Linked DNA regions of Mus musculus. The protein of the gene in region 2 interacts with the protein of the main gene of each other region in a pairwise test. Links are inferred from orthologs where the notes say so. Each region holds a gene or a part of one and is shown on either strand. Other genes may lie near its edges.

Region 1 (2,646 bases), about 83 Mb from region 2:
AAATGTCTGTTTTTGACAGAAAGTCTAAAACAGTTCACAGGTAATATGAGGAAGAGAGTGGGTTTATATTCTGAGTGTGTTGTTATCATTGTCATCTGAGGATGGATTTTCTAACCAGTTAAGAGTCATATAAACCGAATCTCTTCTTTTTTTGTTTTTAGAAAAGATGCAGTCAGATATGGAGAAGATCCAAGGTAAATTTACCTATTTCCTGAGCTCTTGACATTTTAAGTTTCTTGGAAAGAAGCGAGTATATAGACAGTCCAGGGGGTGTCAACAAGATAGCTCAGTAAGTGCAGTCACTTACTGGGCAAACCTGTCGACCTGAGTCTGCTACTTGGAACCTATACAAAGGTATAAGGAAAGAACAGAATCCACGTGTGTAATGACATTTGTGATCGCACACGCACACACACGCACACGTTATTCATGTGCTTCCCTACCTGACACCGTTGCTTTAGTTTGGGTTTGGTTGAGACAGTCATAATGTGTAGCCCAGTCTAGCCTATTACTCACCGGTCTCCTGCCTCAGACCTTCTGCCTCTGGGGTTACAGGTGTGGCGCCATATCCACAGCTACGTTTAGTTCGGTGGCTAGTAACCAGAAGTGGCTTTCCTTGATCTGATTCTTCTTTCTCTTCCTCTTCCTTTGCCACTTCAAAGACTTGTGTGAAATCCTTGGCCAGCTAGAAACCCCACATAAATTAATGATGGCAGTGGGTGTCATTTGAGCCACCCAGCCTCTACAGCAAAGATGGTTCGTACAAGTTAAGAGTTATATATATTATATGTCATGCATTTGAACTTTGCCTTTGCAGAATCCAGTGGCTCTCTGGAGGGTGGAATTCTTGATCTTGGCTCAGTGTGATACCATGTTTTACAAAGTTCATACATGTTATCTGTATAGCCAAGGTTCCCAAACCCCTAACCCTAAAAATCCTTGCATGTGCAAAGCATAGTGGTGCATGCCTGTAAACCTAGTACCTCACAGCTCATCAGCAGTGACTGCCATGAGTTTGAAGCCAGCCTGGCCATACAGTGAGTTTCAGGTCAGCCTGAGTTACATAGTAAGACTGTCTTTCTAAAAGAGAAAAAAAAATTCCTGGGCAGATAAGCAGATATGGAGTCATAACATCAAATGAAAATCAGTACCCAATTGACACAGGCGTTCTGCAATGCTAGTGGGTTCCACTGCTTTATGGTTTGTTTTTTGTTTTTTGTTTTTTCACTTAACATGTTTCCTAGAAAGACACACAGGTTCAGTAACTTCTTTTCTCTCTTGTCTTTCAGAGTTGAGAGAGGCTCAGTTATACTCAGGTAGGTACCTGAAGACAAACCATGTTGAAGAAAGGATTAAAAGCCCTATGAGCCTGACCACTATTATAAGTGCTTTGAGACAGCCTCAAGTTTGAATCCTTTAGTTGCATATACACAGATATCATACAGCCAGAAGCCCAGTAGTTGGGAACATGAGGCAGGGACATCAGGAGTTTAAGGCCATTTTTTTGCTACTTAGTTAATCCACATAGATTTCTGTTTCAAAAAAGATAAAGGGAAAAACTTAAAAGAGTGGATGTTCAAGGCAAATTCTCAGAACAAATACAAGAATGATTTGAAAGGTGGTAATATTAAACTTTAGCTAAAACTATTGGCCACCAAAGTTTTCAAATTCAGAAATTAGACATATGTAAAGAAGCTTTAAATGAAATCTCCGAAGGAGGTTGAGCCTTAGATGTGAGAAAAGGAGTGGGAAGTAAAATTGTATTACTTTCATTGTTATCCATACAGAGGCAATCAGCTAATCTAACCGTAAATTTTTAGGTTCTGAGTCAGGGTCTTACTATGTAACACTGACCATGCAACATGGGCTGGTCTGGAACTCCTGAAGATAACTTCTGCCTCAGTCTCCACGTGTGCCACCATGCTTAGTTCCAAGAGAATTTTTTTACATAATCAGTTCACCGTGTGTCTGATATATAATGAGTACAGCCTCTGGTGGGCATCTCCTACAGTGTTCTGGGGAAGTCAGTGAAATACCAGGTAGTCTTGAGTGGGCTCTTCTGGCCCTCAGATGACACCCCCCCCCCTTTGTTTCTACAGTTGATGTAACCCTGGACCCAGACACAGCCTATCCCAGTCTGATTCTTTCTGATAATCTTCGGCAAGTACGGTACAGTTACCTCCAGCAGGATCTTCCAGACAACCCTGAGCGATTCAATCTGTTTCCCTGTGTCTTGGGCTCTCCATGTTTCATCGCTGGGAGACATTACTGGGAGGTAGAGGTGGGAGATAAAGCCAAGTGGACCATAGGTGTCTGTGAAGACTCGGTGTGCAGAAAAGGTGGGGTGACCTCAGCCCCCCAGAATGGATTCTGGGCAGTGTCATTGTGGTATGGGAAAGAATATTGGGCTCTTACATCCCCAATGACTGCACTACCCCTGCGGACCCCTCTCCAGAGAGTAGGGATTTTCTTGGACTATGATGCTGGTGAGGTTTCCTTCTACAATGTGACAGAGAGATGCCATACCTTTACTTTCTCTCACGCTACCTTCTGTGGGCCAGTCCGGCCCTACTTCAGCCTAAGCTACTCGGGAGGGAAGAGCGCAGCTCCTTTGATCATCTGCCCTATGAGTGGGATTGATGGGTT
Region 2 (4,161 bases):
GAAAGTGCATTGTGGCAGTAGCAAACATAAAAAAGAGGCTGAAAATGTTTTTAAATAAAAGGTTATCGATAAGCAAATTCAAGGAAAATCTGACCTCTTATCTTTTTTTTTCTGATCAAATTAAATCATTAAAACGTATTCAAAACTTCTGCGTATAGACAGTTAAAGTTGTTAAGATAGTCTAGTCAATTTTCCCACAAACATGATACTACAGTATGAATTAATTTGTAGTATATTTCAACAAATCTAAGAAGTATTAGGTGTAGTTCCACTTATTTCAAATCCTTGGTATTATCGTGCTACACTATCTACAGATAAGTTAAATTCTGGTAACTTCATCCCTGCGCCATGGACAGATTTAGGAGCAATTTTTGAAAAAAACATATCAAATGCCAGCTGAAATTTATGCTGGTTCACAGAGATCTCTGCGGCAGGGTCGAGGCGCGTGAGCTTCAGTGGACAAAACGTGGTGGCTGCGGTAGCAGAGACCTCTCAGAGCTTGGGTTCGCATTTCATTCCAGGAAGAGCAGGAAGGCGAGTTGCCGGGGTTAGGGACAAGGCCTACTTCGGGGATCCTTCGCACAATGAGGGTACAGGCAAACAACAGAGTGAGGAGTCTCAGGTTAGCAAGTTTACCTTTTAGCGCCAGCAGGTGCTCCTGTTTGGGGGGATTCACTTCCATCTTGGCGGGCACTTCTGACCTCAGCCTACGCAGGCTGAAGTTTCACCGGGTCTGGAAGGAAAGTGCAAAGCACAGGTCCCGGAAGATCGGGCTTCAAACGCACGCCCGACTTCTTTCTGCTCGTGAGGACTTAAATTCTCTTGTCACTAAATCCTTTACGGCCCCAGTGAAATCTTTGTACCATGGCCATTCCTTAGCTCAGAAGCACACACTTGCCTCAACCACTAAGGCTGACTACAACGATCCACTTCTTGCTGACAATTCGCGGCTTCCCAAAAGCTTTCATTGCCCGGTGGGGGTGGGGGAGGGCGCTACTGTCATGGCATGCTGGGATTTGTAGTTCATCATATACAAATTTCGCAGTGTACGCGGGGCAGGTGGCATGTAGCTCAGTCCTTTATTCTGATTCGTTTCAGTTCTAGAGAAAAAATATTGTTACAGGAATGTCATTTTCACCATAAAATTTTATTTATGTTCCATACTTAAAAAAAAAAAATTTCTCCTCTCCATTACTCGCAGATGCTTTCATGAAAAACAGTGCGCACGCGCAAGCCGTACAGCCAATGACTGACGGGAGAGAAAAGGTCAGAAGGGACCGAACGGCTCGCCATCTATCCTGCGCATGCGTGAGGGCGGCATGCGCCGAGGCTTCTGGGTAGGACGCTCAACCCCTCCTCTCAGTAAAAGGCTCTCCTGCAGCTGTGGCGCGGCTCCATCCAGGATGGCTGCCCTCGCTGTAAACAAGCCCGGAGCCGGAGTAGACAGTGGGCGGCAGGGCAGCCGGGGGACGGCTGTGGTGAAGGTGAGGGAACTTGCGTGCTCTGTTCTCCACCTGCGGCCTCCCTTCGGTTCGTCCTGGAGACCTGGCCGCGACTGTGTGGCCCAGGCTTGGCCGGGTGGGATGCGCGGCCTCTGGTGGGCGTTACAAGCCTTTCCGCCCTTCCGCGGTCCTTGCCCCGCGGAGCTGAAGTTGCCTGGTCTTCTACCTCAAGTGTCAACGTTGTCCGTGGGGCTGTTTGTGAAAAGCATCGCGTGAAAGTTGACCTGGATTTATTTGGTCTTTCCCCTAGTCTTCTGTTTCTAGTGATGCCTCAACAGGCGTTACTTACTTGACTTGGTTGTATTAAACACTTATTGCAATAGACAAGTACTGTCGTAGATGGTTCAGCTCGCAAATATCTACTTAAAAGGTAGATGTTAAATCGCATTTTACATGGGAGGAACCCTAGGTTTAAGTTAATACAGTATGTGCTAAGGGCTCAGAGTTTACTGGTTGTCAACGTCTGCCATTCAACATTGCCCTGAACAGTAGAGACTGGAAACTTCTGAACTCTCCAACTGCAGCACATTTGGGCTTTAACACTAGATGTATGGAGTTTATAACTCTCTGGTTAGAAGATTCTACCGTCTACTTATTTACGAGCTACATTTACTAAAAATTAAGTGCAAGTGTGAAGATCATTTTCCTCACCCACTGTAACCTAGATCTAAAAGGGGCAGGCGTTTTAGGGAGTCACTCGGAAAGATTATCTGTTGCCAAGAGATTAAACAACAACTCTTTCTGAGTGTGTTGACGACAGGACATTTTTTTAATTCCCAGAAGTAATTTTAATGGACACTTGGATTTATAACAGTGAACCCAAGTCTGGTTGGACATTCTTTTAACTCGTTAAATGGTAGATATCTCTTTCTGTCTCTGTCTCTCTCTATAGCAAAGGTCTGCTTTTGAGGAATATATGCCTACGATGTATTATCAGTCGTATTTTATTGGTGTTGAATCAGTTAACTTTTTATATTAATGAAATTTAGAGAAGCCCTCATTAAGCATATTTTGTGCTTATTGAGATTTAATATTTTGAATTGTGTTTTTGCCAAATGGGAATACTTGCAGAATATTTTGTCATTCTTTTCCTATAATTGGAATATCATGTCTAATTCTCCTTAACACTTCGTTTTACTTTACTCATAAAGTATTCTGCATATGTACATGAAAAACATAACGGTTGTAGTTATGGCATATGAATGCACTATAATTTCCCTTTCAATTTAGTATTTATATGTATCTTTCCTTGTTTTTAATTAATGATACAAATAGTGCTTTAAAGAGTTACACACTGGTTTTGTCATATGTGGGCTGGATGTTATTCACTAGTAGACCATTTACCTGCTATGTGCAGGAACCTGAGATTTCCCAGTGGCAGAAACAGCAATAGCAACAAAGAAGAAAGCACTTGGATCCTGTCATGTATGTATGACGCAGTTTAGAGTAAGTTCCATAAGTACTGCTAAATTGTGTCCATGAATGCTATTATTAGTCAATAGACTTTTTGTATTAGTCAGTGAAATTGTTTTCCTATACTTCTATTAATACAAAACTTTAACAACTTTTTGAAAAAAATATCTTGATGTAGTTATTCTTTGTTCTCTAATGAGTTAGACTGAAATCTTAATATAAAGTTTTCTTTAACATTTAGCAGGTATTTATCTCTTTTTTTTCCCTATGAATTATACCACATTTAAGTTTCTTTTGAATTATTACCAGTATGTGAGGTAACTACAAATTACCAGTTTAATTGTAGTAAAAGAAATTTGTATCTCAGTTTCTAAGTCTAAATGTATTAGAGAATCAAGTTGTCTTCTGACCTCCATACTTGTTCTGTGGCACCTTATATATGTGTGTGCACACACATCCACACATAGAAAATAGCATAAACTTGTAAAAGATTAATGGAGTCATACTATATGTCAAAAATTGAATAATTTATCTATCTATAGAAGAAAGCAAGGGTGTCTCTATTTTAGGTTTTAAAATACTAAGAAACATGCCTGGCTTGGTCAATTGTTTTTAAATCTAAAATATGTGAATATTGTTTCAGTAGTGTTTACAGGGCACATGTTTCTGTTTTATATACAGGTTCTGGAGTGTGGGGTTTGTGAAGATGTCTTCTCTTTGCAAGGAGATAAAGTTCCTCGCCTCCTCCTCTGTGGCCACACAGTCTGTCATGACTGTCTTACTCGCTTGCCTCTGCATGGAAGAGCAATACGTTGCCCATTTGATCGACAAGTAACAGACCTAGGTAGGAAAATTATATGAGGTTAAAGTGAAAAATTATTCAAACACAAATGTCACAGAAAACAAATTTTTACACCTGACTTTTTATGTTACGTTCCAAAGAGCTTTCACAATCTGAGTCTCTACTAAGGTAGATGAGGTCCACTCTTAACTGCCATGGGAATCTGAAACTTCCATAGCTATGCTTAACACAAAAAGCTTTAAGAAGTATCAGAAATATATGCTACCCTTATTCAAAGAAATGAGACTACTTTATTCATCCCAGGTTAAGTCCTACTAATGCTCTGAATACAGAACATGGTTTCTTTTTTTAAATGAAAGGTAATCAAAATATAAAGTCATTCAACTCTCAGTATTTCCTCCCTCCCTCACTCCTTCCTTCCTTTTTTCTCTTCCTTCCTTTCGT
Region 3 (3,500 bases), on a different chromosome or scaffold from region 2:
TAGATCAGTAAGTATCTCAACAGAAGGCTGTGGTACCATGTGAAATATTGGCTCTTTGGGAGAGAACTCTCGTAGCCTGCTGGAAGCCACCCAGCTCCCTATTCCAAGGCAGAGGAGATTTGGACTCCAGGAGATGTAGGTGTACCACAAGCTCCTCCTCTCCAGCAGGTGCCTAGCCTCCTTCAGCCCCTCTACTACACACTATGTAGGAGGGAGCTGCCTAGTTTCAGGGTCTGGCAGTACAGCCCTTTGTCAGACCAAGTGCAGCAGCAGAGAGCAGGGCTTCTTTCTCCCATGGGTGGGGCTAACAGGTAAACGTGAAGGCTGACCTAGGCTCAGAGGCCCAGGTCACATCTGGGCAGTTGTGGGTGCACAAGAACCTTAGGAACTACAACACAATTACGCATGTGCCTGCAGAAAAATCAGTCACGATTCCCAGCAAGCTGCAAGAGCATGCGGGCTCTTCCAGCTCAGCAGTGAGCTCCCTCTCCTCCGTCTGATGTGAGGACACTGGCTTCTTAGGTGTGTTGATAATGGTCTTACACAGCCCCTTGCTAGCCAGGGGCAGATGCTGGGCATGGGTAGCACATATGAGGGCTCTAGTTATGGCAGGGAGGCCCCAGACTGACAGGCTTCCTATCTCTCCCTATCCTGTGCAGCTCCTTAGCAGCCACAGAGGCCAGGCCCACACAGATAGGCCTTTGACAAAAACCAGGCTCCACCTTGCCCAAAGCTGCTATGATTCTCTGCCCTCAGACATCTATGTTGTATAAATAGTCAGACACATTAGCCCTATCTTGTCACCTAAAGGTGACAGGGTGTACATTTGAGTACAGAAAGCTCTTACCTGCTCCATGTTAGTGGCATCCAGGGCATCCTGTATCTGGCTGTCAGGCAGGAAGTCTAGTTCCATTGCTGAGGACTCCTGCCATGCAGCCTGGTCTCTGGGACAGGGAGCTGCCAGGTGTACAGGAATGCCTGGGCTGCTGTGACAGTCCTTGGTGCTCTGGGGAGGGTCACTAGCTGCACAAGTGTGCTCTAGCTGAGAGGAGGTATGAGGGGTACTGAGGCCCTCTAAGTCTTGATCACAAGTTAGGCCACGTAACTCTACCAACATCTGATTCATGGACTGTGCTGGTAAAGGCAGCATTCCTATATCTCCTGGCGACTGCTCATCAGAGCCAGAGTCCTTGGTCTTGACCACTGGATCCATTTCTTGGGCTATATGGCCGGAATCTCCAGCTTCCGTCACGGGCTCTTGTTTCTCAGGCTCTGTCTCAGTGAAGCTTGCCAGGGTATCACCATGACACCTCTCTTCCCATCTGGCCTCCTCTCTGCCTGCTGTGGTCTCCTCAGCAAGAGGTGTGGAGCTCAGCAGAGTTCCAATGCAGCCTCCATCAGGGATCTGCTCATCCAGAGAGCCCAGCAGCTTGGCCACCTGTGGAGCACTCTGTTGCAGCACAGAGGGATCTAAGCTCACTTCTGTAATGACAGTGTCCATAAGAGAGGCATCTGCTGGGCTGGTGGAGCTGGGTGCTGCAGCTGTGCTGCTGAGAGTATATGTGGGGACAGAGAGGTCTTGAGCCACAGACCAGGTGGGCTCTGAGGCAGGAGCTAATGCTGATGTGTAGAGGATGTCCTCTCCTTCCTGGGGTTCCCCAGAATGCTGGGCCCCTGCTTCCCCTCCTTGGGCATCTCTTTCCTGTGGGTCTCTGCTGTCTGCCTCCCTGCCTTCAGCAGCAGCATCTGACAGGGGGCTACTACTGTCTTGAACTGTGGCCATCTCAAAACCATTGTTCCCCAGGCTTCTATTATCTAGTGAGATTGTCCTCTCCTTTGAAAGGGTTCCATCTGGCTGTGTCTGGACTTCTGGTCTGATGTCATGGGGAGGGAACCTCAGGGACTCTCTCTGTGGCTGGCTGGCTGCTTTGAGGGCTCCCAGCTCTGGCCTTGTTTCCTGTGGAAAAAGAAGATTCAGTCCTGGCCTTCAATAAGCAAGCACTCTGAAGAACTTTCTAGTTGGAGATTTCCTAGTTGAGGATCCCGTCCTCAAGATCAGATAGTTGTATCCACCACTAGGTACCACAGTGGGCTCTAGAAGCTACTCTAGACAGAGCTTTCTGCTAAGGCAGGAGGAGGAAAGTACACAGGCCCCTCATTTTATGCCAGCACCAAGCACTCAGGATCTCAGAATATAAAAATCCAGGTGGTAGGCTGTGGGGTGACTCCATAACAGAGCATTTGCCTAGTTGCACAAAGTCTTGAGTTTTGTACCCACCCCAGCGATTCAATGAAGGGCTTAAAGTCTCTCCTGCCAGTTGGCCCAGTGGTACAACTCATTAGCTTATTAAAGTATTTATGAGTGTGTGTTTGTGTGTGTGTGTGTGCAGGTACACACTCACATGTACCATGATGGGGGGCAGAGGACAACTTGCAGGAGTCTCTCCTCCTATGAAAGCTCTCAGATTGTCAGATCTGGTGACATGAGACTTTACTGGCTAATCCCACCAGCCACTTATCAGCTTAAGATACACCAGAGCAAATGAGATAGCTCAATGGGTAGAGGTGGTACTTTCTGACAAGCCTAATGGCCTGAGTTTGATCCCTGGAATCCACATGGTAAAGAAAACAGACTACACAGACTTGCTTTCTTCCACATGCACACTGTGGCAGAGGCACCCACACACACACATACGTATAGGTAATTAAAAAATAATACATCATTAAAAAAAACCCAGCTGGCATAGGGCTGGAATTGGTAGCACACATATATCATCACATTTAGAGGCTGAGGAAGAAATTCAGAGTGTGAGGCTGGGCTGGAGTACAAAGTGAGATTCTGTCTCAGAAACCCAATGGTGGTAACAATAGAGGCTTTCTGCTGTGAGGTCACTGTAGTCATGCTGTAACAAATGCTACATGACGTTCCTATTTACTCCCATCTTCCAGTGTTGACACCCTGTGTTGTTCAGGTATGACATCCGGGTCTGGATATGAGTTTGGTGAAAACCTATCTTGCAGCTGTGGTAGCACATTCCTGTAATTCAGCACTTGGGAGGCAGGGGTAGGAGAATCAGGAGGGCCAGTCTTAGCTACATTTGACCTAACAATCTCTCCTTCTAGAAACTGCCACCATGATGAGGATGCTAAACAGCCCTGGCATCAGTGACCCTCCACTCAAGCTACTCTTTGTTTTGTATACCTTGGTTTTTGAAACTGGGTCTCCCTGTGCAGCCTGACTGGCTTGGAGCTTGATACAAAGACCAAGCTGGTGCAAACTCAAAACACATGCTTCTGCTCCCAAGTGAGAATATCTTTTAAAATGTTTATTACTGATGTGTGTATGATTGGCTGATGCATGATTGTTAATGTGTCAATGATGTGTGTATGATGTATGATTTGTTTATGTGTATATGGGATGTATATATGACTCTGATGTATGCTGTATATTATATGTGTATGGCATATATTATGTGATATATATGGTATGTATGATGTGT
Region 4 (2,968 bases), on a different chromosome or scaffold from region 2:
TTTAGGTAGCGATCGGAGGGGTGTGAATTGGGCTTTCCGTCGAATGGCAAAGCGTTTCATGGATGAATATGTGCTCTGAGGAGAGAGGTGGTTGGCTGAGCAGGGCTTCCAGCCAAACTCTTCTCATCCTGCCCAGCCCAAGGGTTGTTGATAGAAATCACAGCTGAGAGGCCTGGGGAGCGAACACCCTGAGACTGTCTATAAACAGCTGACTGTTCGGTGATGGAAGGTGGTACTATACAACTGGGCTGCAGGAATGGGGGAGGGAGGGCAGCAGATGGGAGCCATCACCGTCCAGTGGAGGCCCCCAAAGCTACCTTCCTGTTCTCCCCACTGCAGCAGCTACTCTTTGGGGGCTCACGTAGGGAAGAGGCTAGGAGTACAGGCACACTGCCACGATGTGCGGCGCTTGAGTGGTTTATTCAAGTGAGAAACCAACTCTCTCTCCCTATTCATGCATCTCCCCCTGACTCTTGTTCAGCCCAAGAAAGAGCAGAGAACTTAAACTTGTTTGTAGCTCTTTACCAAGGACTTATAGTGCTTTGTCCATCTGTCCTCACCAAGGACTTACAAGTGCTCTGTTCGTCTGTCCTTACCAAGAACTTACACTGGTTTGTCTGTCCTTACCTCATCTCTCACCTGTCGTCACTGCAAACTCATCTCAGACCCTCTTCTCGTCTAGGCTTCAACCTCTCTGGTCTGTTTTGCCAACTCACAAAGACTAGATGTCTCCTCTCCTCGGGGCTTCTGCATCTGCAGCCCTCCCCATCTTGTCTGAGTCACAGCCTCAACTCTGGTCTCATAGGCAATCCTTATCTTCCCAATGACAGTGCCTTAGCCATACTACATTTTGTAAAAAGACTGCTTAGCATGCCCTTTGTAAACATTAAACAATTTTTTTCCCGAATTTATGTATGTGTTGGATGCCCATGTGAGCCAGAAGAGGGCATCAGATGTCTTGAGAGGGAATTACAGGCAGGCAGGTTTTTTTTTTTCTCCCAAGACAGGGTTTCTTTGTATAGCCTTGACTGTCCTGGAACTCACTCTGTAGACCAGGCTGGCCTTGAACTCAGAAATTTGCCTGCCTCTGCCTCTCAAGTGCTGGGATTAAAGGTGTGCGCCACCATGCCTGGCTGGCAGGCAGTTATAAGTTCTGGCAGGCAGTTATAAGTTGACCAATGGGAGTTAAGTTGCCAGCCCTACTCATCCATTCCCCTACACACACACACACACACACACACACACACACACACACACACACACACACACACACCTTCTATTTTTAAACACAGGGTTTTGCTACATAGCCGAGGCTGTCCTGGAATTCACGATGGCTCAGCCCCAGGCAATTCTCCTGCCTCCTCTGGGTTACAGTCATGTTCCACCAAGCGTGGCTCTAAACTACCAATTTATGACACCAATCCTTCTCCCACGTCCTTTCAGTACCTTATACATTTAGTTTTAGAAAGAACATGTCACCATGTGACATCCTATATATTTCATTTTACATTTGTGGGGTGGGGTTTATTTTGTCTTTTATTATTTTGCCCCCCTTTCTAGAATATACACACACACACACACACACACACACACATATGTATATATATACACACACACACACACATACACACATATATATATATACACACACACACATACATACACATACACACACACACACACACACACACACACACACACACACACACATATATTTTTTCTGGAACTAGAACCATGGCTGAATCCAAAAGCCAGTTAGCAAATGCCAGTGGAATGAAGGAATTAATGCTTGGTTGGTAAGTGTTGGCCATGTTTAAGCCACTGTACTGATTTGATAGTGACACACATAACAGTCTGTCATCTCTCACCCTGGGTCCCAGATACCCAACAAAGGAAGTCAGATCTACCCTGAAGAGGGCTTGGTCCCAACTCCAGCAAAAGACCAAATACCCTGAGTCCCGGGTCTGCCAATTCTACCCACAACCCTCAGTGTGCCTCCTGAACACCCCTTCCCCATCCTGGGAGGGTCTCGGCTCACCCTGGTGTTTGTCAGACTTTCTTTTAATGGTATCCGTTGAGCCAGACCCAGATGATGTCTTCCCCCTCCGTCGTCGGAGTGAGGGACAGCCTCCTGCTCGCCTCGGAGGGGTAAGGAAGCTGGGAGGAGACAGGACATTCATTTCCTGTAGTATCTACAACACCAAAGTCTACCCGTTCAGCATCCCCCGAGAGCACAATAATACCTTGGCAAACACTTATCAATCCCAATGCCCTGGGTGGGCTGGTGGCCATGGCTCACAAGGGACTGGGACAGAGAACACAGTAGACATTGTCTTGCAGGAAGTGGCAGGGAGAGGGCAGAAACAGAGATACACGCACAACTAGGCTGACCTCTGACCTTCCCGGGAGGTCTTGTCTGCTGTGTGTGTGTGTGTGTGTGTGTGTGTGTGTGTGTGTGTGTTTTTGGGATGTGAATGCTGGAGGAGCACGCCACCACTGAGCCAGACCTCCCTCCAACCTCTCCCTTACTTCACCCCACTCCCTGAGGCCTGCTGACCCTTGCCTTCCTGGTGCAGGCACTCACCCTTCCTTTGTTCCCACATCCACACAAACTCACCAGGCTGAACCGGGGTCTTCAGGAGCAGTCTTGAGGCTTGGCTTGCTGAGGTCCTTCTGTCAGTACAGTCCCCGTCCCTGAGTGCCAAGCAAGGGCTGGGCATTAGCTAAGGGCTTTGCAAACACCAGCGCAGTAGCCTCTAACAGTACCAGTGTTAACCTCACTTGGCCGATGGGGATGCAGAAGCCAAGACGCAGGCAGGTTAAGGTGAGCTTGCACAGCTAGTAGTGGTAAGGGTCAGGAATTGAACTCAAAAGCCATCTATTGTCAGTTTACGCTGTAGCCAAATGACGCAGCGCTCCCCATGTCCTCCATGTCATAGATAAGGCTCAGCTGTCAAAGTCTGAACCC
Region 5 (3,112 bases), on a different chromosome or scaffold from region 2:
TGGTCCGAAGGATACTTCCACGTTTCTGCCAGGACCCTACACCAACAGGAAACCAGCCAGCACCAGGTGTTGCCGACAGCGCCCACCTTGCAGGTGTAGACGAGTTGATAGTGGTCCGCTTCCACGCGCCCCAGCGCCGCCGCACGCCCTGATCCCGGCGCGGAGCTCGAGCTCCGCCAGCCCGAGGCCCAGCCCCAGGCCCAGCCCCGAAGTCTCTCCGCGGTCTTTAGGCGAGCCCCCAAATCCCAAAGCCGCCGCGGTCCGGAATCCCGGGTCCGCACACTACGAAGTAGTGTCGGCATGCGGCTCAGCGCTGTCCGCAACATCCCGCCTGCGAATCCTTAGCCACCTTTTCTTGCACCGCCCCGTGAAGCTGCGTCGACCATTTTGGTAACGGGCGCAGCGGCCGGAAGCGGCCCTCTTCGGCTTCCATCCGCCACCGGTGCACTGCTTTCTGTTGCCCCCTGGTGTCGCCCCGCTTGCATATCCAACCAACAGGCTCAGCTCGGTGATTATTTTATTTAGTTGCATTTTCTAATTCTAATACAGTAAAAAAAAAAAAAAAAAAAAAAAAACCGCAGCATCCTTTCACAATTCCACAGATGCTCAGCCTCGGCGCGGTTCGCTAGGAGCCCTCGGTGTCGGTGTTGTCGCTGCCTGTCGTATTCCCGCGATCCCCTTCTCCCTGCCGCCAGCTGTTCTGCATCTTGCGGAGCGCCCGCTTCCTGTGGGGCCCGCAGTGTGAGCAGGTAGGCACAGGTGTCCCACCCGCCAGCCGTCCTGCCCGCCGCCCCACACCTGCGGTAGTTCTCGAAGCTCTCCTTGAGGCGCCGCCGCTCCTTCTCCGGGGGCTCGCTGCTGCTGGGCCCCATGCCCTAGAGAAGGAACGGGGCCGGCAGCTGGACAACGGGGCGGGCAGCTGGACACCGTGGCCTTACCACGGCAGCCCTGGGACTCCAGCAGGTGTGGAGCATAGCTAGCTGGCCGTGGGGTCTGCTGGACTCCGAGATGACTGAGCGTGGGGTGACAACCCCTTTGTAGCCAGGTGAGTGGAAGACTTCTTTGCAGTGAACAGCAGTATGGGTGTCCTTACATTGTCCCCTCCCCTGTCCAACCACCCCACTATCCAAATGTTACATCCTACCCATACACTACCAAAGACCTTGTGATCCCCAGCTGTCCAGTGGCGTCACCCTCCTCCCCAGGATCAGCCATGTAGTAACCAGGGCTCTTGGGAACCCCAATCAGCCTTACATGGGTCAGTGAAAGATGCTCCTTGTTCAGAGCCATAAAGGGCTGCTCTGGGCTCTCCCTGTCTGCCAGTACACCTGAAAGGAAGATCTGTGCTTATGGGGGCCCCATCTGGTATGGCCACCTCCCTCTGCAAACAGCCCAACTAGCATTAGCCTAGGTCAGCCTTACGGGCTGGGACCTTTGCATGAGTCCAGTGGGGACTGCATTTCACAGAAACAGGCTGAGCCCTTGACTGCTACATCAACAGGGCTCCTACCATCAGTCACCCATACCGCCCAAGCTGACTGTCACCAAACACAAGGACAGATGGCTAGGAAAGACTCCAGGTCCCCATGATTATTTGCGAATGCATGCCCCAGTCCATGTCCCTTTTAGCTTGGCAACATTTTTGTGTCTAGTGGTTCCCATGGGTGGTGTGGGGGCAGCCTCAGTGGAGAGCTCAGGGCATCGGGGGCCTGGGTTAGTGCAAGTACACCATATTAATTAGAAGAATAATCATTCCAGGTAGCCAGAGCCAGCATGCCCCAGGTCCTGGGCAAACCAAGGCTCAAGCCTCTAGGTAGAAGATGTGCAGGGAAGGCTATGAACATCAAGAAACAATTATATCCAAGGAGGGCTCAGGGTGTGAGAACAACCCCGTCCCAGCAGCCCTGCCCCCTTCCCCTCTCATTTTCGTTGTGCCTAACTGTTGGCATGCCTTCAAGGGAGCTGGCTGCTCTTGCATCCTTCTCCTTGTGTGCCCACATGGAGCTCAGTGACCTCAGGTTGGGTCTTGGGGGCTGCAGTGGGTGACCCGTGCTTCTCCATCTACACCTCTTGTTCCCCTTTTGCCTTTGGTTAGAGCCTGGGGTAAGGCTGAGCTGAGGAAGTCTGTCTGACTTGTCACGAAAGCTCCCTGGGCTCCTCCCTGCGCCAGACCCTCTCGCCACCCACCCTCAGCTGCCCCAGCTGCCACCCCCCAGCTATTAGATCAGAGGAGGGTCCCGCCTGTCAGCCTGCTGTGGATAGCACAACCCCCAGCTCCTTGCTTGTGGCCCTGTCCGTAGCTCTATTCCTCCCCTCCTCATTGAGCACACCTGGGTACTGGCTAGTATCTCCCCCTGCAGGAGGAAGGCTAGTGGGGAAAGATGGGCCTATGAGGGATGGGGCCTCCACAATCACTGTCCTCTGAGCCACAGACCCTGAGACCTAAGTCCCACATTCAAATCAGATTCCTTATTCTCCGGGTGTGTTAGTCTAAGAGTTCTGCCCTTCACCATTGACTCTCCTTGCCTTGGGGAGTATCATCCTTGGCTGGAGTGGTGTGAATTCTGAGACAAAGTAAGTGACACAGCTTTACGTGCTGAGGATGGGCCAGGGTTAGGGAGGCCAGGAGACTGCAGCCTACATGCCTCTGATAGTACACGGTATCCTCACCTTTGTCTGAGAGCTGGGCATCCTCCTCCAGATCCTGAGGCAGTGAGAGCTTCCAAACAGAGACACGCCACCCAGTTAGACCATGCTACAAGCCACCATTGCCCTTCCTGTACTAAGTGTGGCCCAGCCCACTGCCCGCTTGACTCCAGCTCCTCAGTTGACACAGCCATCACTATCACCCCTCTGCACAGAGATTCTCAGGGACTCCGTCCCAGTCAGGCCAACAGGCAAAGGAAACCCTAGCATGAAGCTCTTGTCCTGAGAGGCCAGGATATGGGACATTAGTCTATGACTCACTTCTCACTTCGCTCACAGCAACAGCTTAGAGTTTGGCCAGCACTCTTCCCTGAATCCAACCCAAAATGAGAGAAAAGGGACAGCCCAGTTTAAGGGGACAGGACCATGTGGGAGATGAGTGTGAGGTCAGGTAGAGGTTGAAGGC
Region 6 (4,115 bases), on a different chromosome or scaffold from region 2:
TGGCGGCAGGATGAGGGTAAGAGCAGAGGGACTGTGAGAGCCTTCCCCGGGGAAGTAGAGGGGAGAGGCTGCCACCTGTTCCACTGACTGTTGTTCCTCTAAGGCACTGAGGCCATTCCCAGCCCCTCCATAACCAGGAGCCAGTGCCCCAAGAGAGCCACATGTCAAAGGTTCATTATTTGTTTGGATGAGATAGTAGGAACCTCAGCACAATATTTGGTCCCTCCTCTGATGCCGCTGCTGGGGGTCCTCTTAGCCAAGCCCTTTGGGGGTCAGTAATTTAGCTCCAGCCAACAATATAAGCCAGTAGTGTCAGAGTAGCAGGAATGACCCCAGAACCTAGGCTGCTTGTGAACCTCAGGATGCTCACCTCCAGGAAGACTCAGTGGCTAACAACAAACAGGGCTTAGGGTGCCTGCCTTCTTCCCCAAGCTGTTCTCACACTGGCCTGAAGCGTTTTTTCTCCTTCAGCTGTATATATCTTGCCTGACACAGATACTCTGGCACCTCTGGAAAACTGGGGAAGGGGGGTAAGGAGTCTGAAGTGGGGTGTAGCCAGGCTCAGGTGCTGCCTGCTAAAGCAATCACATTCTGCCTCTACCTTGGATGACCGTATTAGAAATGCAAAGCCTTTGCCAGCAAGGGCATAGGTCTTGCCTGTCACTTGACTTGGAAGAGACAAGATCTAGGAGGGAGCAGGCACTGCTTCCATCCTCCCCATCCCCCACCTCGGTAGCAACTCGAACCTCCTCGAAGGAATTCACTAAGGCACCTAGCCCTGCTCCTATTGGAGAGACTGAAGTCTAGAGGGACACGGCCCGTCTAACCCTGCTCCAAGTTTTCTCCAGCTAAAGTCTAAACTCCAGCCATGGGGCTAATCTTCAATCCCCAGCTGAGCAGAGGTTGACTTAAAAGTGTGATGGTGAGGTGTCACTGTGGTACAGAAGTGCTCATCCCTGCAGCAGAGCCACGGCAGCTGCCCTCTGCACCAGACTTTCACCTCCCTCCTCCTGGTCTGCATCTCCAGGACCTGAACTTCAGCTGGGAAACGAAAGATGTCTAATCACGCATAGCTATCCAACTCACCGGACAGAGTCCTGGCTCACGCCCTTGCGCCTATCCCCATGCATCTACCCTGCTGGGGTCCAGCCAGCTTCGTTTCTCTGGACCTTATTCTACCACTCTGCCGTTAGTCTTTGCCTCTGGTGAGGGACTCCAGCCTATTCCATTCTGAGACACCCTACACCCTTACTCAGATACTCCTGCTAAACCCAAGTGAACTCAGTCATCATGGGCACTTAGCTAAGAAACTGGAAAAGGTCAGTGGCCAGGCAGCCACCACAGAGGCCACTTAGTCATGTAGAGTAGCCCAAAGACAGTTATGTTGAGCAGTCGCCACGTACTGTTGCCAGCGTCTGCTTATCATTAAAGCCAGGAACAATGGGTACAAGTGCTTACACACTCTCCAACAACACAGCATCAACGTGAAAATAGCTTACACAAGTTCAGGACCCAAGCAGACACTCACACACCTTCGCTTCCACCTCCGCACACAACAAGCCAGCATGCCCCACGGTTCAGTGGCCAGGGACTGCTGAGCTGAGCCCTTCTCCTGAACTGGTATCTAGAAAACTCTCCCAAAGCTCCAGAGAGAGTATTGTTCTCTCAACTTTGTCTAATTATTGGGGGTAGAGGGAGGAAAGGGGGCTGTCTCCTGACTTTCTGAGGAAGTTGATTTGGGGACCTGGCTAAGGATTAGAAGCCGATTAGAAGCCCAGGCAACTTATCAAGAGAGTCACACTCAGACACTTGCAGAAGTGGCTTTAAACACACTGGGTAGCTGGAGAAAATGTACTCGGGACAGTAGGTAGAGGTTGCCTAGTGCACGGGACTGCAAAGGGGGAAGGTGACTGCTCAGGTAGCTCAGAAGAGGGGAGGAACTGCTGGCATGCACCTAGCTGCCCCTCCAGCTCATTCCTGGCAGTAGCTACTCTGCAGGGGACTTTGGCACAACCATATTGTCTAGCTCCTCCATTCTCACAGCACCAACCAGCAAAGAGACCATGCAGTACAACTGAGTTCTAGCCCCAGTTCTCAGCATGACTCCAGAAACCTTCATCCTTCTCTCTGTTCTTCAGTATCCCCCTTGTACAGTAGGCAAATGGAGCCAGCTCCCTCTCTGTCTTCTCCTACAGACACCCTAAGCCTAAGATACCCCACTCACGTCATTGCGGCCAAGTGAATTGTCGACTAGGGAGGAGGTGATGCCCGAGAGAATGGCCGTGGCGACGATGGCTCCCACACACTGGGCGATGATGTACATGACAGCCCGGAGGATGCTGATCTGACAGCTGAGCAGGAGCCCCAGTGTGACCGCAGGGTTGAGGTGAGCACCGCTGATGTGACCCACACTTTGGGCCAGAGTAGCGATGCTCAAACCAAAGGCCAGCGACACCTTCACGTTGTCCTGGACCAGCGTCTGGTTTCTCTCCAGTGGGTAATTGAAGCCTAGGGCAGAACCAATGCTGATGAAGACGAAGAGGGTCATGGCCAGGAACTCAGCCACCACAGCCCTCCAGAAGAGCTTCTTCTTGATTTCACTGGCCATGCTGGCAGGGACCTCGACTTAACCGCTGGATGCCTGGTGCTCAACTCCCTCCAAGAGCTGAGCCACAGCCTGGGCTGGGCCTATTTATAGGGCTGGGTGGGGGGAGCACAAAGGGAGGAAGGCCTCTCCTTGCTCCTGGCCCGCCCCACACCACACGAGCCTCCTCGCTGCGATGGATGCAGACAGGGCTCTGCTGTCTGCCTGCCAACTTTTTCCTTCCTCCTCTCCCCCTCCTGCCCTCCCTTGCTCCCTCCACCCGCCTCAGCCCTCGGCCCTGCCCAGCGTAAGGAGGCAGGAGGCAACCGTTGCTCTAATAGGCTTTGGGAAATTCTTCCAAGCTGGCTCTTCTCAGGGGGCCAGAGAAATCCAGGTGTCCCCGCCCAGCCTGCAAAGCTCAAGGGTGCCTGAGGGCAGAGGCTGGCACTCTAGAAGGGGTGGGGAATAGGGGTTGTCTGGACTCCCCAGACGGACATTGCCCTCCCTGGAGGTGGCACCAGAAATTGCCTGCCTGTCCCATCCCACTCTGAGCAGAGTTAGTAATCTGAAGTTCTCAGGCTGAGAAATCTGTGGGCCAGTCTGGCCTCCAATGTCCTGGCCTGGGCCAAGCAGCTGCATGTCACTTTGGGGATGTGTCCTCGCCCCCCGGGCCTCATTGATGGGAGTAGAGAAGCTTTCTGGGAGCCACCTATCATTCTTTAGACAATGGCAGACCTTAGCCAAGCAAGGTTGCTGGAAAACTCCCCCAATTCCTCAAACTTAAAACAATTTGAGGCCATGATTTGAGAGGGGGTGGGGAAGATAATGTTGCTTAGGCTTTTTTTTTTTCTCTAATAGATAAAGTAGCTAGCAGGTCACTGAAGAGATGGAAGGAATGACAGCTGGACCTGAAAAGGAGCGAATGGGAGACATGGGCTGGGGCTAAGAGACAGATGCAGTGATGGGATGATAGGCAGAGCAACAGGAAGCATTATCCGAGTGATGGTGGAAAGTGGAAGAGGTTTCCAGCCTTGCAGGAGACAGCGGCCAGGCTATGGATGTGCTCACGCATACAATATTCAACTGGGCACTGGATTCAGTCACTAGCATCACAGGAAAAAACAGCACGTCAGAAACAGGAAGAGACAAACGGAGCAGAGGAGACATAGGCCGGACAAGAATCTAGATAGAGAAAGAGGAGAGAGGAAGGTAAGGGAGACCAGAGGCACTTTCCAACACCAGGAGGGGTGGAGAGGAGGTGGGGGCAGACAAAGCACCCACCATGTTTCCTGTGTACCCCCAAAATCCCGAGTAAAGGACCAGAGAACTGGTCGGTCACTTGCCTACTGTTTGAGTGTGCTGGAAGGTATACCAGGCCCATAGGGAGGCTCTCTCTGTGGCCACAAGGTAGGACCTGTTATGATTGGTCCCTCTCTTTCCATCTTAGTCCTTATCAGAATCATTGGCTTCTTACCCATCAGAGGTGGAAAAACAACACTCACTGAGAAAGAAGAAATGTCTTTGAGTCTGA
Region 7 (4,054 bases), on a different chromosome or scaffold from region 2:
TCAGGATGGCCAGAGGATCTCTGTTATACAGAGAAACCCTGTGTCAAAAGGAAAAAAAAAAGCTAAAAAGCTAAGAAGCTGAACTCAAAACTTGACTTCCACAAACACACTTTCCATCTCTTTTGCTGTCATTTCTTCATTCCTTTCCAATGATACAGCACACTGCAAGTTGGCTCAGATTGACCCATAAGTGTTGCTTTCTTGGGCTGTTGCTGCCATTAAGAGTGCCCACTCTGAGCTGGGCGTGGTAGAGCACGCCTTTAATCCCAGCACTCGGGAGGCAGAGGCAGGCGATTTCTGAGTTCGAGGCCAGCCTGGTCTACAAAGTGAGTTCCAGGACAGCCATGGCTATACAGAGAAACCCTGTCTCAAAAAACTAAAAAGTGCCCACTCTGATCATTCTTCTCTCACTAAACCCTAACTGTCCTTCCAGCCCTCACTCCAGCCACTCCTATGAATGTGTGTGTCCTTGTGACCTCTATCCTGCATTAGGTTCCTTTCTTCCTTCCCTACCTTCACTTCCTAGTCATTTTTGGTCAGGACAGACAATGGGGACCCTGTTATAACCCTTGTCTGCTCAAGACATCCCCTTAGCTCTCACTTCACTCACAGTAAAAGACAGGAGCCCTCTGGAGCTCAGAATGCCCTTTCTGTCCTGCCCCCCTCTGCCTTCATCCACTGCCCAACCCCTCATCATTCACTGCAATCCAGTAGTAGGCTTTCTCAGTGCTCCTCAAACATGCAGTCTGAAATCAGACCAAAGAAAGAAGGAAAGAGGAAACAGGCCAATGCGGCTCCAAACAATGCACAGCCTCATGGCACCTGTACGTCCTGTCTACTTTGTTGTCCACCTCATTCACATCATCCCAGAATTCAAGTACGTTTTTAAAATGCCCTATCTATTTTGTTAATTTTTCTAATAAGAATGGAAGGAGGAAAGGCTAATTGGCAGGGCTTAGGGACACGCACACACACTTTTCCGGCTATGTGCAAGGAGGCTAGGCAGCCAGGGCAGAGGGAACAGTGTAGGAGGGAGGTAGAGGGGCCGCTCACTGTCTCAGCCTGAGGTTCGCTGTCTGATCCTTCCTCAATGGGAGTACATCCTTTCTGGATCATGGGGATAGTGAGCGTGGGGTCAACACCTGCATTCTCCCTCTCCTCCAGAGACTTCTTGGATTCTAAGGAAGAATGGGAGGGATCAATGAGGCCACAGCCTATCCTTCCAACATCTTCCCCTTCTATCTGCACTGGGGCAGAGCAAAGAGACAGGGTCCACTCACCCTCAATGAGTTCCTTCACAGCCTGGGACAACACACCGTCTGACATCAACACGGTGCTAGTTTCTGAGGATGGCTTAGGGTTCTTGGACAGAGGTTGCCTGCGAGAGCCATTCTGGATCAACGGGATAACCAGCTCCTTGGGGGCTTCTGGAGGGTTCACACTTATGTCGGGAGAGAAAAAAGGTTGGGAAAGTAGACATGTCACAAAGCAGAAATATCAGGCCGGCAGTGGTGACGCATGACTTTAATTCCAGCAGCACTCAGGAGGCAGAAGCAGGAGGATCTCTGAGTTCAAGGCCTGCCCGATCTACAGGGTGAGTTCCAGGACAGCCAGGATGCAGAGGAACCCTGTCTTGACGCCCCCTCCAAAGAAAGAAAGTATAAATATCAAGATAGAAAGGAGGTTAGGAAACAAAGAAAATCAATTTCAATGGCCAGAAAGAAAGAAAGAAAGATCAATGCCCAGTCCTATGGACCATGTTCACAGGTTACTATTCACAGGTCCACTCGTTTTTTTTTTTTTTTTTTTTTTTTTGAGACATCTCACGATTTAGCTCAGGCTGGTCTTATAAACTCTCAGTCAGCCTGGTGCAATCCCCTAGTGCTGGAATTACAACCATGGATCTCTTTAAGTATGTCTTGTGGGAATCAGCCTTAGGCCTTCAACCACAATGGCCTAAAAATCACCATCTTTAGTCCAGATTCTTCCCGGTTCCGGGCCGGCAAGCTGCCTTTTACAAGTCCCCCACTTAGGCCTTTCGGACCTTTGTTTCTTACTTAATTATACTGCTGATGGCCTCCCCAGACTTGAATTTGCCTAGTTCTCCAAATCGGAGAAGCTCCCACAATTTCAGCTGAGACAGGAAGAATCCTGTCATTTTTCCCTCCTTTCCCTTTCTCAAAAGGCACACATACTCAAGTCCCAACGACATTTTTTCTGAGGAATCTATACCTCTGGTTCTCAGGCCCCATTTCACCCACCTAACAAACCTCCCTCTTCTTGCCCTTACATTCTTATGTTCTTCCTGTTTGTTTTTTAGTTGCCCAGGCTAGCGTTCAATTCCTGATCCTCCTGCGCCAGCCTCCCAGGTCCTGACTTATAGGCGTTTGCCGCCACTCCTGGTTACCTCCATAAATTTCCCGAGGCAGTGTTTCAGGCTTTCCAGGCCACTGTCACCAGGACAAACAACTCTTACTCTGCCCTCCTGCTTAAGCCCATTTCACAGATTTCCAAAACGCGAAAGACCCGGCGTTTCACCTCTGCAGCTTCCTCCCTTCCACGGTCGCCAAGAAATCTTTCTCCTCTGGGGCCTGTCTTTCGCTATCTCCGAGGTCTGCCAGTCGCCTCCGGACAGACGTGCGAGTGAACCCGAAAGAAATTGGAGCCATTGACGGGGCAGACGGCGGCGGACTCTCACGGCCCGCCATCTTCGCTCGAGTCACAGGCGAGCGCTCCGCTTGCTGGGAAGTTTAGCTCGAGCCGTGAGGGGCTGGCCGGGAAACGTAAGAATCAATCCCAGCATGCAACGCCTCAAAGACAAGTGCCTTGTAGCCGTGGGAAACAGGAATCAGGGCGCAGAAACTCTTTGAAACGTCATAGGAACGTGCCATACGGCATCCTGGGAAATGTAGTTCTCAGTGGTATAGCCGCTGTGGAAGATTGATTAGGTTATTCCTCGGTATTCAACCGCTATGAATTCAGTTCTAGAGTATCCTATACCCTTTCCCGACATCCTCAGGCACCATGCACGCATGTGATGCACGAACATAAATTCAGGCAAAATGTTTATATACACAAAACAAAATAAATAAAACTCATAATGTGCTTCCACAATGTGAACCTTACTGATAGAGGCTGGAGGCTTCCAGGGCTAGGTCTACTTTAGCAGATGAAAGCAGTAAACCATGGAGACAACAATTACATCAGGCAAATAAAAGTTACATTTACTGCCGGGCAGTGGTGGCGCACACCTTTAATCCCAGCACTTGGGAGGCAGAGGCAGGCGTTCAGGACAGCCAGGGGTACACAGAGAGACCTTGTCTCGAACCCCCCCCCCCAAAAAAAAAAGTTTCATTTACACAAGATGACTTAATGGGTAATAGTGTCTGCTACAAAAGCTGAAGACCTGAGTTCTTGAAGATCCTACATAGTAAAAAGATAGAGTTAGCCACTAGTTGCCTCTGACGGCACCACAAGTGCCATGCTATGCATGAACACATATACATGTAAACATGAACAAATGAATAAAATATGAAAACAAATTTTATCTAATTATATGTAAAGTGAATAACTGTGCAGTGGCTGGTTTTGTGTGTCAACTTGAGACAAGCTGGAGTAGTCAGAGAGGAAGGAGTCTCAGTTGAGGAAATGCTTTTTTTTAAAAAAAGATTTATTTATCTATTATTATCTGTAGCTGTTTTCAGACACTCCAGAAGAGGGAGTCAGATTTCATTATAGATGGTTGTGAGCCACCATGTGGTTCCTGGGATTTGAACTCAGGACCCATTTGGAAGAGTAGTCAATGCTTTTAACCACTGAACCATCTTGCCAGCCCCGAGGAAATGCTTCTATAAAATCCAGCTATAGGGCATTTTCTCAATTAGTGATTAATAGAGGAGGGCCTAGCCCATTTGGGTGGTGTTATCCCTGGGCTGGTGGTCCTGGGTGCTGTAACAAAGCAGGTTGAGCATGCCACAGGGAGCAAGCCAGTAAGCAGTACCCATCCAGGTTCCTGCCGTGTTTGAGTTCTTGTCCTTCAATGATGAACAGTGAT

Evidence for each region.
Region 1: the proteins of Trim23 (region 2) and Trim27 interact in a two-hybrid assay, tested with the Homo sapiens proteins (2 studies listed by BioGRID and IntAct). The link is inferred for Mus musculus from reciprocal best matches to the Homo sapiens genes TRIM23 and TRIM27.
Region 3: the proteins of Trim23 (region 2) and 4930432K21Rik interact in binary tests that used the Homo sapiens proteins (3 or more experiments, as listed by UniProt). The two-hybrid records come from large-scale screens. The link is inferred for Mus musculus from reciprocal best matches to the Homo sapiens genes TRIM23 and BRME1.
Region 4: the proteins of Trim23 (region 2) and Troap interact in binary tests that used the Homo sapiens proteins (3 or more experiments, as listed by UniProt). The two-hybrid records come from large-scale screens. The link is inferred for Mus musculus from reciprocal best matches to the Homo sapiens genes TRIM23 and TROAP.
Region 5: the proteins of Trim23 (region 2) and Card9 interact in binary tests that used the Homo sapiens proteins (3 or more experiments, as listed by UniProt). The two-hybrid records come from large-scale screens. The link is inferred for Mus musculus from reciprocal best matches to the Homo sapiens genes TRIM23 and CARD9.
Region 6: the proteins of Trim23 (region 2) and Aqp1 interact in binary tests that used the Homo sapiens proteins (3 or more experiments, as listed by UniProt). The two-hybrid records come from large-scale screens. The link is inferred for Mus musculus from reciprocal best matches to the Homo sapiens genes TRIM23 and AQP1.
Region 7: the proteins of Trim23 (region 2) and Gpkow interact in binary tests that used the Homo sapiens proteins (3 or more experiments, as listed by UniProt). The two-hybrid records come from large-scale screens. The link is inferred for Mus musculus from reciprocal best matches to the Homo sapiens genes TRIM23 and GPKOW.

The regions. Positions count from the first base shown.
Region 1 is NC_000079.6:21,189,931-21,192,576, forward strand, and holds part of Trim27 (zinc finger protein RFP), read left to right. Parts: coding exon 1-40; intron 41-161; coding exon 162-194; intron 195-662; exon of another isoform or gene 663-756; intron 757-1,289; coding exon 1,290-1,316; intron 1,317-2,099; coding exon 2,100-2,646. UniProt on the Homo sapiens protein: E3 ubiquitin-protein ligase that mediates ubiquitination of various substrates and thereby plays a role in diffent processes including proliferation, innate immunity, apoptosis, immune response or autophagy.
Region 2 is NC_000079.6:104,177,478-104,181,638, forward strand, and holds the start of Trim23 (E3 ubiquitin-protein ligase TRIM23), read left to right. Parts: upstream 1-1,361; 5' UTR 1,362-1,403; coding exon 1,404-1,484; intron 1,485-3,596; coding exon 3,597-3,759; intron 3,760-4,161. Other genes in the region: Trappc13 (trafficking protein particle complex subunit 13), read right to left, coding at 637-682.
Region 3 is NC_000074.6:84,165,038-84,168,537, reverse strand, and holds part of 4930432K21Rik (uncharacterized protein C19orf57 homolog), read right to left. Parts: intron 1,958-3,500; coding exon 848-1,957; intron 1-847. UniProt on the Homo sapiens protein: Meiotic recombination factor component of recombination bridges involved in meiotic double-strand break repair.
Region 4 is NC_000081.6:99,077,973-99,080,940, reverse strand, and holds part of Troap (tastin), read right to left. Parts: intron 2,695-2,968; coding exon 2,618-2,694; intron 2,306-2,617; exon of another isoform or gene 2,293-2,305; coding exon of another isoform or gene 2,244-2,292; intron 2,158-2,243; coding exon 2,039-2,157; intron 137-2,038; exon of another isoform or gene 76-136; coding exon 1-75. UniProt on the Homo sapiens protein: Could be involved with bystin and trophinin in a cell adhesion molecule complex that mediates an initial attachment of the blastocyst to uterine epithelial cells at the time of the embryo implantation.
Region 5 is NC_000068.7:26,351,687-26,354,798, forward strand, and holds the end of Card9 (caspase recruitment domain-containing protein 9), read right to left. Parts: intron 2,720-3,112; coding exon 2,671-2,719; intron 1,329-2,670; coding exon 1,255-1,328; intron 876-1,254; coding exon 799-875; coding exon of another isoform or gene 726-798; coding exon 626-725; coding exon of another isoform or gene 607-625; 3' UTR 501-606; downstream 1-500. Other genes in the region: Dnlz (DNL-type zinc finger protein), read right to left, coding at 87-326. UniProt on the Homo sapiens protein: Adapter protein that plays a key role in innate immune response against fungi by forming signaling complexes downstream of C-type lectin receptors.
Region 6 is NC_000072.6:55,334,984-55,339,098, reverse strand, and holds the start of Aqp1 (aquaporin-1), read right to left. Parts: upstream 2,801-4,115; 5' UTR 2,609-2,800; coding exon 2,225-2,608; intron 1-2,224. UniProt on the Homo sapiens protein: Forms a water channel that facilitates the transport of water across cell membranes, playing a crucial role in water homeostasis in various tissues.
Region 7 is NC_000086.7:7,695,880-7,699,933, reverse strand, and holds the start of Gpkow (G-patch domain and KOW motifs-containing protein), read right to left. Parts: upstream 2,801-4,054; 5' UTR 2,709-2,800; coding exon 2,539-2,708; intron 1,442-2,538; coding exon 1,281-1,441; intron 1,179-1,280; coding exon 1,054-1,178; intron 1-1,053. UniProt on the Homo sapiens protein: RNA-binding protein involved in pre-mRNA splicing. As a component of the minor spliceosome, involved in the splicing of U12-type introns in pre-mRNAs.